Linked DNA regions of Caenorhabditis elegans. The protein of the gene in region 2 interacts with the protein of the main gene of each other region in a pairwise test. Each region holds a gene or a part of one and is shown on either strand. Other genes may lie near its edges.

What was found. Proteins that work in one complex are often made in the same cells at the same time.
Region 1: the proteins of acox-1.1 (region 2) and mus-101 interact in a two-hybrid assay, tested with the Caenorhabditis elegans proteins (2 studies listed by BioGRID).

Annotation. Positions count from the first base shown.
Region 1 is NC_003279.8:10,478,932-10,486,679, reverse strand, and holds mus-101 (BRCT domain-containing protein), read left to right. Parts: upstream 1-1,715; 5' UTR 1,716-1,718; coding exon 1,719-1,760; intron 1,761-1,811; coding exon 1,812-1,943; intron 1,944-1,981; coding exon 1,982-2,130; intron 2,131-2,190; coding exon 2,191-2,434; intron 2,435-2,484; coding exon 2,485-2,628; intron 2,629-2,681; coding exon 2,682-2,914; intron 2,915-3,233; coding exon 3,234-3,521; intron 3,522-3,571; coding exon 3,572-3,722; intron 3,723-3,769; coding exon 3,770-4,013; intron 4,014-4,472; coding exon 4,473-4,635; intron 4,636-4,687; coding exon 4,688-4,874; intron 4,875-4,923; coding exon 4,924-5,468; intron 5,469-5,862; coding exon 5,863-6,070; intron 6,071-6,204; coding exon 6,205-6,357; intron 6,358-6,408; coding exon 6,409-6,768; intron 6,769-6,899; coding exon 6,900-7,091; intron 7,092-7,136; coding exon 7,137-7,262; 3' UTR 7,263-7,378; downstream 7,379-7,748.
Region 2 is NC_003279.8:12,936,788-12,942,734, reverse strand, and holds acox-1.1 (Acyl-coenzyme A oxidase acox-1.1), read right to left. Parts: upstream 4,181-5,947; 5' UTR 4,174-4,180; coding exon 4,057-4,173; intron 4,003-4,056; coding exon 3,812-4,002; exon of another isoform or gene 3,433-3,811; coding exon 2,758-3,432; intron 2,184-2,757; coding exon 1,919-2,183; intron 1,872-1,918; coding exon 1,521-1,871; intron 1,090-1,520; coding exon 808-1,089; intron 759-807; coding exon 615-758; 3' UTR 511-614; downstream 1-510. Other genes in the region: Acyl-coenzyme A oxidase acox-1.2, read right to left, coding at 317-427; tag-138 (ENTH domain-containing protein), read right to left, coding at 5,483-5,571, 5,686-5,797. UniProt on the Caenorhabditis elegans protein: Involved in the first step of peroxisomal beta-oxidation by catalyzing the desaturation of fatty acid-derived side chains.

The DNA of each region.
Region 1 (7,748 bases), 2.5 Mb from region 2:
AATGGGCATTTTAGCTTCGTAAATAAAATCATATAATAGAAGTAAGAGATAGATAAAAGGTTTAAAATGACCTGTTTTTTTCAAGAAAGTATGGAAAAAACTGATCAAGAATCGAGCCGTTGAGCCGTATGAAAAAAAAAAAAACTTCCGAGTTTGAAAACACAATCGCATAAATTTTCCGCTCGCGCCGTAAACTGGGGACAAACAATTTTTGATCTATTCTAAATGTTTTCATGTCTGAAACTGAAATTGACATAATTTTGACCGAAATTTTTCGAAATAAACTAATTTTACACCATGAAATTGAAGAAGACAAAGACATTTTCAAAAGATTTTACAAGTTTTATGGAATATTAGGAAAAAAGATTTCCAAGCCTCTTGACTACGGTATTAATTAGCAATCGTGGTGAGACCCAGCAACAACATATTGAATAGGTCCTTTAAGACCAACAGTTTTTAAAGGTTTTTTATTCATCACGTGTTTTCAGCTCGACCATTCGGTGTAATTTGTGCAAACACCGTCACGCGCAAATGCAGACTTTTGCACGCGCTGCGGTGAAATTCCTCTTGGGGAATTCAAATATTTTTTCCCGCCTTTTTGTGAAAATTTTCGAGGCGTTGGTCGAGCTGAATACACGTGTTCATTTTACATTTTTAAAAATATGTTTCCGGTGTTTTCGGTGTTAATTGAAAATGTTAATTGGGCCGGCAAGCTTGAAGATTTTTGACATGAGAAATTTAGGATATTGGCGGCTTTCCAGATTACGGTATGCAACGTAAGCAAACAAACACTTCACGTAATTTTGCAGATCCACGGAAAATTTATAGTTTACTTTTTTTGAGACCCAAAGAACTCGGGGGATGTCCAATTGGGGGGATTACCAACTCGGGGGATTGGCCCCGCCCACAGAACCGTGGCTTGCAATACGCCCATTTCTGCAACTGCCGCACGGTTTCGAAACTGTATTTTTCTCAATAGAGCGAGAATTAACAAGAAAAATACAGTTTCAAAACCGTGCGGCAGTTGCAGAAATGGGCGTATTGCAAGCCACGGTTCTGTGGGCGGGGCCAATCCCCCGAGTTGGTAATCCCCCCAATTGGACATCCCCGAGTTCTTCGGGTCTCCTTTTTTTTTACTTTTTTTTTACATCAACTTCCGGTAGAATCTCGAAATTTTGGGTGTTGTTGAACTCTTCATCCTTTCCTCGCTAATATGAAAATGTATCGTCATTTTTCAGTATGTGAAAATGTATCGTTGAACCTTAAATCCAAAAAGGACAATACTTACGCGCGATGATACTTGGAAAATAGGAAGTGGTTTTTCCGATGATTTTTTCGGAAAAGTTTTTAAAGAGAAACTGCTATATAATTTTCATTCAAATAGAGATGCTATAAGCCGCTGTTCCGTACAGTTTTTGGCTTTGAGATAATTTAAATTACTCTGATCAATTGTTTTCTCCATGTTCACATTTCCATCTTCCAGATTGAACTCTTTTCACAAATTTCTTCATACAAATGAGAGAAACTGTCAGCAGTTCTGTTATTCAGAATATCGAGAGACGCAGACAGTCATACCACTTCCCGTCGTGTCTGTTCGCATTTCACACGCGCGAAACTGTCATTTTTGAACTTAATGTTAACACCCTACCCTGCCAATTCTTGAGTTTTTTACTGGCGAAATTAGCTTTTTTTATTATCAAAATATTCCAGATTTTACAATGGAGGCACCTCCGGCCCCGAAGAAGGCACGAAGGAGTGAGGTAATTATATCTGATTTTCAACAATTTTAATATCAAAACTTCAAATTTCAGGTCAGTAGGATGCAAGACGAGTCGGTGCTTTGCGATGACGATGAAGAAGATTCTCCGTTCACATTGTACTTTGTCGATCTTCCCAATGAACCAACAGTCAAAGAAATTCGCAATTTAGAAGAGTTATTCAAAGTATTGCGTTATTAATTTATTTATTTTTCAAGTTTTAGGCGTATTTTCAGACTGCAAAAGCTGTGGGAATCATGCCAGAATGGATTGATTCAGATGCACTCGAAGATCTGCAGAAATCTGAAGACTTTTTCGTTTTACCCTGTTTCCGCGGAAAGCTTTTTCGAAAACTTCAAGCCCGGAAATTGAAGTTTGTGTTAAATTAAATTCAAATAAATTCAAGTCCACAAAATAAAATTACAATATTCAGAGTATACGGTCCTCCAATTGTTCTTGAAAGTATCGAAGATGGGAAGCAGCTCCCACAATGGAATCATCCAGTGTATTCCAGTGTTTTTCAAGACGTAAAAATCAGTTTCACCGGGTTGAATCTTACGAAAAAGCAAGAACTCTACGAAAAAATCGGATGGATGTGTGGAGTGGTTGGAGATGCTCTATATCACGAAACGACTCACCTAGTAACTGAAAAAGCAGAACAGACGGAAAAGTATAAGGTTAAATAGTATATCAAGCAGAAATTTAAAATAAAATAAAAAAATTCCAGGCTGCTGTCAATAATTCAATCAAATTAATGCGAATCGGATGGATTGATGATCTCTGGGAAACTTCTCAAACCACAATGGGCAGATTTAGTGCTTTATCGCGGGATTCAGTTAATTCCTATGCATTGAGAGTTTTTGAAGGGCTCGTGAGTGATCGAAATCATGAATTTGAATTTCAGTTTTATACATTTAAATTCAGGAAATGGCAATCACATCGATCGACGGCGCTGATCGTACCAATTTCATTCAGCTGATTGAAGATCACGGAGGAAAAGTGCCTGGAACCATGTCAAAAACCAGATGTAGCTATCTTATCAGTGATAAAATTACTGGAGTAAAATATGCAAAAGCTGTTGAATGGAAATCAATGCAAATTGTGCAGTCTCGATGGATTCGGAAATGTGTAGATTTAGGACATCTTGTAGATGCGGGGTTCGTTTTTGAGAGGGAATTGGCTCAAATCAAGCGACATTCATTCAAAAAACATTAAAAAATCCGAAAAAGAGGAACATTTTGCAGAAAAAATATATTCTTAAATCAACGAGCTTACGCGAGATAAGCTATCAAAACATGCAATAAAAATTTAGGATTTAATAAAAACTGCGACAATGACAGGAAAATGAAAATTCCGTTTTTAGCAAAATAATCCTTTTTTTTCAGTTTTTTTTTCTGTGTTTCATTATAAAATTTGCTCGTTTTTGGGCGCTCTACTTTCCATTCAAATGATGTTGCCAGAAAAAGCGTTTTACAGAAAATATCATCCAAAATATTTAACGGCTGATCATATTCGATCTTCCACCCCGAAACGTGATGCTAATGTGACTGAAAGTGTGCCGGATATCTCATCAATCGCTGGACATGGAGGTCGTTTGGGTACATCTTCATTCAATTCTTCTATTCCACAAATGGATCAATCATATCAACATCAATCAGGATCTTCGTTTATTTCATTTGCTTCTACGTCAAAAATCCCGTCGAGTACTTTTACGAATAATGATTCAACATTAGGAAGATCTGGAAGCGGAGTTAGAGATGGAATGTATGTGAAAACGGAAATTTTAGAAAGAACAATGAATTTTCGATATTCAGATCAACTCCAATAGCTCGAGTTCAAACTACTCCACTGATTCGATATCCAACTACTCAAACAGCATCCGTTCAAAATATTGCTGACGTTATTTCTGATCCTATCGATGAACTTCGAAAAAATATTGACGATGGACTTGGAGATCTTTTTGAAGTTTTTTTTTTCTATTCTTTAAATCAAAATTAACATCAATTTTTCAGAACTGCATGTTCTATATATGTGGAGTCGACGAGTCTCGAATGGAAAAATGGCGTCGATTTCTGAACGAGACTGGAGCAACGCGTGTCGCAAAATTCACATCAGCAACGAATGTGGTTGTAGTTTCGCCGAATCAACAAGAACGAATTACCATTCGAAAACACCTTCATCAAGAAGATATTGCAATTGTTACTGTTGGATGGGTGGTCGAGTGTGTCAAACAGCGGAAAATGATTTCAGTGGAAGGTCTCAGCACTTTTACAACATCCTCTTTCTCTTTCGAAGTTTTTTTTCGGAAATTTGTAAATAGAGAAATATTTGTATTTTCTGAAGAAAACTTCATCTTTAATTAATAGCTTCGATAAGTTGCTTGAAGATTTCAGTTTAAAACTGAATTTTTTTTTAACTTCGAAGTTTCGTTTTACAAAACTTTTTTTTTCTCATCAACATAAACCTATTTTTGACATATCTCCCAATTTTTTCCTTATAATTTCGATGTTCTCAAAAAACACCAAAATATTTCGACGAAACTTTTGATGCAACTTCTCAAAACTTAACTGAAAATAAAGTTATCTTCAGAAAATAACAAATATTTATAATATATGTATGATTCTCCGGAAAAAAAAACTTCGATACAACAGTGAACCGAAAAAAGTGTCGAATACCTCTGGATGGAACGAACAGTTTAACTATTAATTTTTTCAGGTTATCAATGGACTGAAAATACAGCTGATGAATCACAATCTTCTCAATCTCAACTGCAACCAGTAAGACCTCAGCCTCTTCCCCGGACCTCGTCTAAATCAACCATTCCATATGGTAAAACATCAGGACCAAGCTCTACTTCAACTCAAGTCGGAATTTTCTCGTACGATTGTATTTTATTTTTTTATGTTCCTTTTCCATATTCTCATTTTCAGATATCACACGTATTGTGTCCATTGTTCCGTCGATCAAGAAGTTTCTGATGATTTGAAAGAGAAAATTCCGTTGAATGGAGGCAAACTGATGGACGATCCAGATTATGCGGAGTTTGTGATTTTCGGACATTCTGGACCAATGCACGAGTTGATTTCATTTGATGCTGTTGTCACGGATTTTTATATTGTAAAGATTGAAACCTGACAATATGCCAGACAATATATTTATTTTTCAGTACGCGAGCATCGGAAACAACAGATTTCTCAATCGATCGTGTTATCCATTATTTGTACCACTTCCCCGTCCTCCAATTCTAATTTTCAATCAACGTGGCTTCCAATTAAAATGCAAAGATCCATTTCTCCGTGATCGTGTAAGAGATATTATCGAGGACAATGGAGGAAGAATTGTGGAGCAGTTGGAACCAAAGGATTTTATTATTATGATTGATGCAGAAGACAATCCACCAAGATACCATTCCCGAACACTCGATTTTTCATGGATTATAGCCAGTGTGAGCAGATGTCGATTGCAGCCAATTGATAACTTCCTGTATAAGAACAACACGAGGCCTCTAAGTGGATTTCAACGAGACGATGATCTCTGGGAAAAGTGTTCTCGAGAGAAGAATAATAGTACACAAGAAATGGAAGTTGAGGTTGAAGATAGACATCGAGTACAGGATCTACCAGTAGAAACTGGGAATGGGAACATCGGTGACATGACGACCCCCTATGTGAATCCTTATTTCCCCGATCTTCGAAAGCCATATACGATGAAGTGAGTTTTCTGGTTGCAAATTATGAAAATTGTGAAATTCTAAATTTTAACTACCGTAATTTGTAGGTTATTGCGATTTTCAAAAAAAGAAATGTGTATTTCAGCATTTTGTGCAACTTTTTCTCTATTAATAAGCTTTTCCTGGAGCTTCATCTCAAAAATATTGTTGATCAGGTTTTTTGAAATGTATATTTTAAAAAAGAAAAAAAACATGAGACATTATTACATTAAATTTTGAAGAATCGGGAGAATATTTCTCCGGACCGTATTTTCGGAGCATTTTTGGGAGTTATAATGGTAATATCTTAAACTCATTTAGATATTTCTGAAAAAAAAATTTAGTTGCAAAACTTTAAAATAACACATAATTTGTCAATGTTATCCAATTTTATAGCCTCCAACTCGACGGTGTTAGCGAATACATCAACAATATGGAGTCACCGGCACGTGAAACACAGGAAACGCTGACAACTTCTCGAGTTGGAAGCATCCTTCGAAAAGCTGTCGTGAACACTGGAAGAAACGAAGATTTCGAGGATGAGCCTTCCACGTGCCACCTAATTCGACCCAGAGTTCCAGAAAATCGAAAAACTGTCTCTAGTGTATGGCATTTCTGTTGTATATCACCGTTAGAAGATTTAATAGTTTCCAGTATTGTCCGAATAGTTTAAGGAATTAAATATATTAAACTCATAGCCAGCTTATTAAAACTATGAGATAAATGTGTATTTTTCAGACTCCCGTTCTTGTTCGTGATGTAAACCGTTCAATGAGATATATGCCAATGGATGAATCATTCGCAGATCAAAATCAAGAACACGAAGATCTGAACCGTCGATATGCAATGAATCCACGTTTTTTGCTCAGTGTTTCTAATATGGATCCTCAAGTTAGATTTCTTAAGTTTTGATTTTCAATTCTATATATTTGTTTTTTTCAGCGAGCCGCAGATCTACAAGAAACTATCATGAAGCTTGGTGGTACCATCGAACGTGAATTCAATAAAGATGTGACTCATCTGATTGCGAGCAACATGCAAAGAGCTCCAAAAGTTCTTTGCTCAATTGCAGCTGGAAAATGGTGTCTAACACCTGATTATGTGACTAAAAGTGCTGAAGTTGGTCGATGGCTCGATGAAAAATCATTTGAGTGGACTCGAGAAAAGTTGTTGGCGTGTTCGAAAAAGAACGAGTCCCTCAAAGAACGAGATAGTCGGAAAGTTTCCGAGAATCTAGCAGCTGTTTGTGGATTATGGAGGCAACGTGTGGCAGAGATGCCGGTTACATTTTCAGTTAGCATGGTCAGTTTCTAGATATGTAGCTTTCTGGCTTTTTGGGTCAATTTCTGAATTGAAATTTAAATTTACTAGAACCAAAAACATTCAAAACTCACTAGTCTGCTCAACCTGTTTGAAACGGGCAAATCTTTCAGGAGAATCGTCAAAATGGAGCATTCTCGGATTGGCGTTGCGTAATTCATCTCGACGATAAGAGAGCTGGCGTATTTTCATCGATTCTGGAAGCCGGTGGTGCCATTGTTCATTCGATTTCCGAGTATGTAGAAGTATCTACACTTAAGCCTAACATTGTTTTGGCATCCAAAGAGTTCCCATGGAATCCTCAGGTAAATTAAGAAAATCTCTTCGATAAAATTTATTCAAATTTTAAGAGCGCTGTGTTGCTGAAACGTGATAATATTCCGATCTACGTCTTCGACATCCTTTACGACTTCCTAATCGACAGAGATAATCTAAATCGAACCAAGTTTTGGCATAATGTCTACATGAAAGCATGAGCCATTCCGATTTTCTAAATGTGCTATATATTTTTAATTGGTTTCATTTTTTGTCTTTTTTAAATTTCTAGTGATTGTTTCAATTTTTTGTTTCGTAAAGTTTTCAATAATTTTGCTTGTCCTCGTTGCTTTAATTTATTTTGAATCGTTTAAATAACGTAATTTTATTCTTCTCGTTTCATTTCTTATAAGAGAATATCTTTTCAAACAAGTGGGAAAACGCGCGCAGCTGCCTCTCATGCCATATGTTCCCGCTGTCTACGGTTTGCACAACGGGAAAATAATCAATAAATTACTTCCATTCTCTTGCACTACCCTTTTTGCAATTACGCTCTAGTGAATGGTTTTCTTATGTATTTTTTGGATTAGTATTTGAAATTTTAACAACGTTTCCAGAAATTTTGGTTTTAGTCCCACACCAAAATATCTTACTTTTAAAATTCTTCAAAAGGTATTTGAATTTCGGAGCTTATTTGTTACAATACA
Region 2 (5,947 bases):
TAAAAAAAATTTTTCCGACAAAGGGAAAACGACGAAAATTGATTTTTGTGGAATTACAGGGATTTTATTGTTCAATGCCACGTGGTGGAACATGTCGTTCTAACTGATTAAGTTATACGGTGCGAAACATACATGGTCTCCACTTAAGGTATACAATATTTTTCAAGAACATGTATGTATACATTCCATTGTGCTTTAAAACATTATAAAATTTCAGCTTTGATAACTCTTGATTCATACTAAAATTATGTATAATCTGATTTTCTATTAGCCTAATAAAGCTTGTAATCAATAGTTTGTAGTTTGCAGTCCTTACCTCTTCACTTCCATAGATCACCGCTGCCATCTTATCCGTATCAAAAGTTGCCATCCTCCGTTCTTCCAGCAATTCGGGGTTATCTCCATCACGAATTGATCGGTTCGCCATGTTACTGATATCAACAAAAAAGAAGAATGGATGGATGAACTGATGGAAAGGGTATAAAAGGAGTGATGGGCGGAGTTGTGATTATTGGCCTGTACTATTTATAAGTGCAATGTTTGCATTTTCAAATATTTAACAGTATAAGCAAAGAGTATGCAAGAGAAAAAAAAATCAAAAATATAAATTAGAATTATAGCTTGCTCTGCCTGGCTTTTTCCATCATTGGCTTCAAATATGTATCCACTGACGGAAGAACATCTGTCTTGTTCAACGGACTTTCCTTTGCCCACTTGAAAAGGTTCTCGTAGACATGACCATCACGGCGGCCTAGGACCTGAAATTTCAGTTATTTAATTTTAGAACCCATTAGCTTTGGAACTTACAGATCTCAGCTCTCTATCACTAAACTCCCAGGAATCTAGCAATGAAACTGCGTTTGGTCGAATTTTCTGGAGATAGAAGTACAATTGATCTCTGACATAATCCAACTGAGTGGATGACATGAATCCATCTTCCAGTGCATACGTGGCAACATCCAAAAGTTCATAGTTGACGTGAAGATGGAGGAGATCGCTGAGAGCCTCTTTGATGGTGATATCTCCGATTTCGTTGACTCGTCTGGCAAAGGCTTCGACGATGAAGAGGCGGGTGTGGAGGCGACTCGCCTAGAAATATATACTTTTCGGACTTTTAATTTTAAGAGTGTCGCTTTTGTTACAATGTCTTAAGCTAGTGTGTTCAGAATCTTTAGTCATCTTTAACTTTAAATACGGCTCTGGTATCTAGTATGCACCCTAATATAGAGCCCAAAAAAGGTTTCGGATTTACAAAATTCTACCAGATTTCACCAGTTTTTGCTACATAGCAAATGCACTTTTCCAACATTTTGGTGTTTGAACTAATTTTCCTAGTAAGGTTGCAGGGACAACTGATAAGAATTCAATGATTGTTGACAAATATTGATAAACAAGCTCAAAAGTGCATCTAAAGTTTTGCAGGTTTTGCATTTTCTGCAAGGAAATGGGCAAATGGACATCAAGGCCACAATGTACCATCACTCGTATTCTCAAAAATCACAAGCATAAGTCAAACATACCCTATTCAACTCCACGGATGACTTGTTCCAGGCGATTTCTCTCTTTTCTCCATTCTCCATTAATCCGAAGAACTTGTTGGCAGCCTTCAACGTCTGTCTCTTTGCGATATGTTGGAATGTCTTGATGTATTCCGTGATTCCACCATTTGGAACTCTATCTATCAGGCTAGTTGGCTCACTTCTGGCGCCCAAGTAGGCTACCAGTGGTCCAAGCTGAGAAGCTTTTCCGGACTTCACAAGGGCAGCGGATTTGACGAGGTAACGAGCGAGTTGAAGAAGCATAACCATATTTTCTCCTTCATACGTGCATCCTCCAATTGCAACTCCGTAGATTTCAGAGATGTAACTAGCCTGAAACATTCCTTTAGAATTTGCAATTTCAATTATAACATTCCTACCATAGAATATCCATGCCCACCACAAGCCATTCTCGCTTGTTCGATACCTTCTCCAGTTTGATGAGTAACAACTGATTTTAAACCAGAAGTCAATGCATGTAAGTCAGCCATAAGAGACACATTTCCAGATTTCATCTCCTTGAGTACTCGTTCGTAAAGCTTCACGGTCTCGGCACCAGCAAACTGGAAAGCGTAGGCACGGGCGATGAATGGGAAGAGACGGTGCTGCTGGGTTTGGTACTCGAGCACTTTTACCTCTGGTTCACTGGAAAGAGGATAAGTGAGGATGGGGTTTGCAAGTAATTAAGTTTCTCGTAATTCGCACGTGGTGTCAAAGTGTCCCATTTTGGTTTGTTCTACGAAAAATGCGGGAGAAGAGATGCAGATTTTTCAACTGATTTTGCGTGATGACGTCACATTTTCCTGGGGGAAAATTCCCGCATTTTTTGTTGATCAAACGTAACATTTTTCGTAACATTTACGTTGTATTGTTTAACAGGCGTAATTCATATCGTAGTTCGTAATTCGTAACAGTAACAAAACTGAGAAGTTATGTAAGTTGTGAGTGGCACAGCGAAGTCTGTTATTTACGGAACTTCTATATATAAAGGTAATAGACGTACTACATAGGTATGCACATAAAAGTATTGATGTATAGTTATAGTTATGATCATTCTTACTAAAGACGAATCTATTTTCAAGCCATGAAATAAGCTTTTTAGTTATGAAAAATATATTTAGAGATAGCTCAACCCAAGAAATTCAACCTATAACCCTTTTTTATTTTACTAATAGTAGTTGGTATTCTTCAGATCTTATTCATAAAAGTTCCAACTTACTTTTTATCAATCTGCCCCTGTCTTCTCACTGCCGAGTATCTTGTTGCAATATTCAACGCATACGACAACATAATCGCCTGTCCAGTAAGCATATAACTTCTCACATGTACCATTGCAGAGTAATTGATCTTTGCATGTGGTGGTTTGATATAAGTCCCGTCAGCCTCTACTTTGGTATGTCTCATCAAAAGATTCGTTCTTGGGATACGGTAGTTGTTGAAGCCTAGGAATCCATTGTCTACAATATTATAAGCCATTTTTGGTCCAATATCTCCAATTGTAATCCCTGGAAGTGGTTTGTGAGTTTTCTCGTCTCTCAATGGAACCATGAAGGTATGTGGTCCAAAGTTCTTTCCCTTTATATACATATGTGCAACTACAACTGCATAGTTGCTGCTTTTTCCAAGATTCCCTGGCCACCACTTCAATGCGGTGATCTTTGGAGTGTGAAGCACAAACTCCTGAGTTCCAATGTCATAAGTAGCAGTTGTTTCCAGATTTTGAAGATTTGTGCCATGACCCATTTCAGTTTGGGCGTAGGTTCCGATGATTTCTCGTCGGAGCGCTCGAATGAGCCACTTGGCTTGCTGCTCATCACTAGCTTGAGCGTTGAGGGCTGGAATGAACATCACACCGTGAAGAGCCATAGGATTTCCTTCGATTCCGAGAACTTCGCTGGAAAATTATTGATTTTCTGGGAAAATGCTCAGTTTGAAGAGCTCTTTCATTATTAAACTTGTATTTTTGTATTATTCTACTTTGATTTTTGATATGATAAACTAAAGTACAGTGAGCGTAACTTCTTTAGAATCGCCCTTAATCTGGATGGTTTCGCACGTAAAAAAAAAATGAAAGTTCGGCGATGTTTTCAAAAATCTCATGAGATCCCAAAGAATTGCTTTTCCTTATTTTTACGTTATCATAATAAAATTTTTGTACCAAAAACTATTTCATATGCTGAATCTGATTTCTAAATTAATTTTCCATGTAATTTTAGGAAAAATCCTAAGCCTGTCAAACGAAGGGTATTAGTCCAAGAAAAAAGTCCACTTACTTGTTCAAATGATACAACTCGCCTGCATCAGTTGGATCAATGATCTCTGACATTCTTTGTGTCAAAACCGTCAGTTTCCTAGCACTTTCCATAATTTTCTCCTCTCTTGTCATATACGGAAGTGGCATCGAGTCATGGAGCTCTGGGATTTCTGCAAGCTTCGCGGTGATCTCACGACGACGACGGGCGCGCTGGAAACATTAGAGACAGTTATTCAAATATTCCATTTTGACTAGATAGCTTACCATTTCTCCCCCATAAATCTGTGCAGCCATCGCATGAGTATCAAATGTTGCCGTCAAGCGTTCGGCAGTGAGATCCGGGTTATCACCCTCCTGAATTGTTTTGTTGAGATGCACCATACTAAAACTGACAAAGTTTTAAAAATTTGAAAAAAAAACATATGTGGTTGAAATTGATAAGTACGAAGTACTACAAAGTTAAAAAATATCAATAAGTTGTACGAAAATTGAAACTCTTGGCTCGAATCTAACGCAGCGGTTCAAAAAGTATTACACCTGCCATGACAGTTAAAACTTAGACTTATAAAAATGCATCTACAAAAAAAAGAGGAAATACGGTATCTTAGTGAAACTTAAATATATGAAAAAATGAATTACAGAAGCTGCATGTAATTGGCAAGAGCTTCAGATCAGTTTCTTCGAGAGCTTGATCTTATTTTTAGCCTATTTTTTATATTATATCTCAGTTTAATTTGGAAATACCGTATCTACATTACACAACTATAGTTACTGTAAAAAAAGATCTGTTAGATTACATATTTCGTCTCATATCCCAGTTAGGGCACTGTTAGCAGAAAAGTTGTAAAAAATATACAAAAAAGTATTTCTTATCAAAAAGAAGCCTGTCTAGAAAAAGAGCTCATAAATCGTTCAACTTAACACCTGCAATACTAACAATTTGAAAAAAAAACCACTGAATATAAATTCAGTTTTTCTACCTGCCTCTGCACTCAATTTAAATGATAAGAAGACGAGAGAATGATCATCAAAACCAAAAGAGAAATAGAAGACGAAAGGAGGAGGTGATAACTCTCTTATCACCACACCACATTGTACCGTCCATTTTCCAATCATTTATGTCCATTGACTACAGTGTAGTCACGGAACGTGATATTGAAAATTGCATGGGAAGGGGGAATTGGAAGAAGTCATGTAACATGTAGGCTATATTGTGACTCTCATAGTCAGAATTTTGAACCAGTGAATTGACAAAAAGTGATAACATTAGAAAAGGGGGATAAAAATTATGTAGGCAGAGAAAGTGATGTATTCTGTGTGGAAGAAACTGTGATCTTTTGATAAAATTTCTCAAAGTTGAAGTCAGTTTAATCATCAGCTAGTTTAATATTATTTTGTAATTAACGAAGAAATCGCGTCTGTTGGGATTTTTGTTCTGAAGTTGGTCGGTTTATTATCGGATTTTTGTTTTATTCTGTTCTGCTCTTGATCAATAAACGTTACCTTAAAATTGACCTCATTTGTACATTCCGGTATTTTTTAAAAATTTCATATCGGTTAGCTTTGTGAAAAGCTGGATATCCAGTAATAGTATTAAAATACATTTATTGTTAATGAAATATTAAATGAATGTAAACATGCTGAGATGTTCTACTTTGAGTGGAGTAATGATGATTATGAAAAGTTCCTTTTAAAATTTAATGCTGAACTCATCCGGAGGAGTGTCATAGATAGCCGCTTGATTTTGAGTCCTAGAAGCATCGCGGAGTGCCAACTCGTCTGAAAGTAACTTTATTTGAAAACCATATTTAGAAATCAGGCACGTGCTCCTGCCTGCCTAGGTGCCTGTATACATTCTAATACCGGTGCCGTCTGAGGAAAATTAAAACAAACATCTGAGTCTCTGAACCTCCTCTCGATTTTCATCAGCTTCTCGTCTCACATGCTGGAATTCCCCGTGCATTTCTTTTAAACGGTTTTCATAATGTTCAATTCGGGTGCGGGCCTGAAAAACCGGGAAAATGTTTTTACTGTGACTATTCCTCTTTGTTGAACTTATAGTACATGACTCTAACTCTAGGCATAACTGGTGTCACCAATTTCTTGAGATTAATCGAACCCTGTCATGAAATTGAACCTAAAGCTGTTCAAAAAT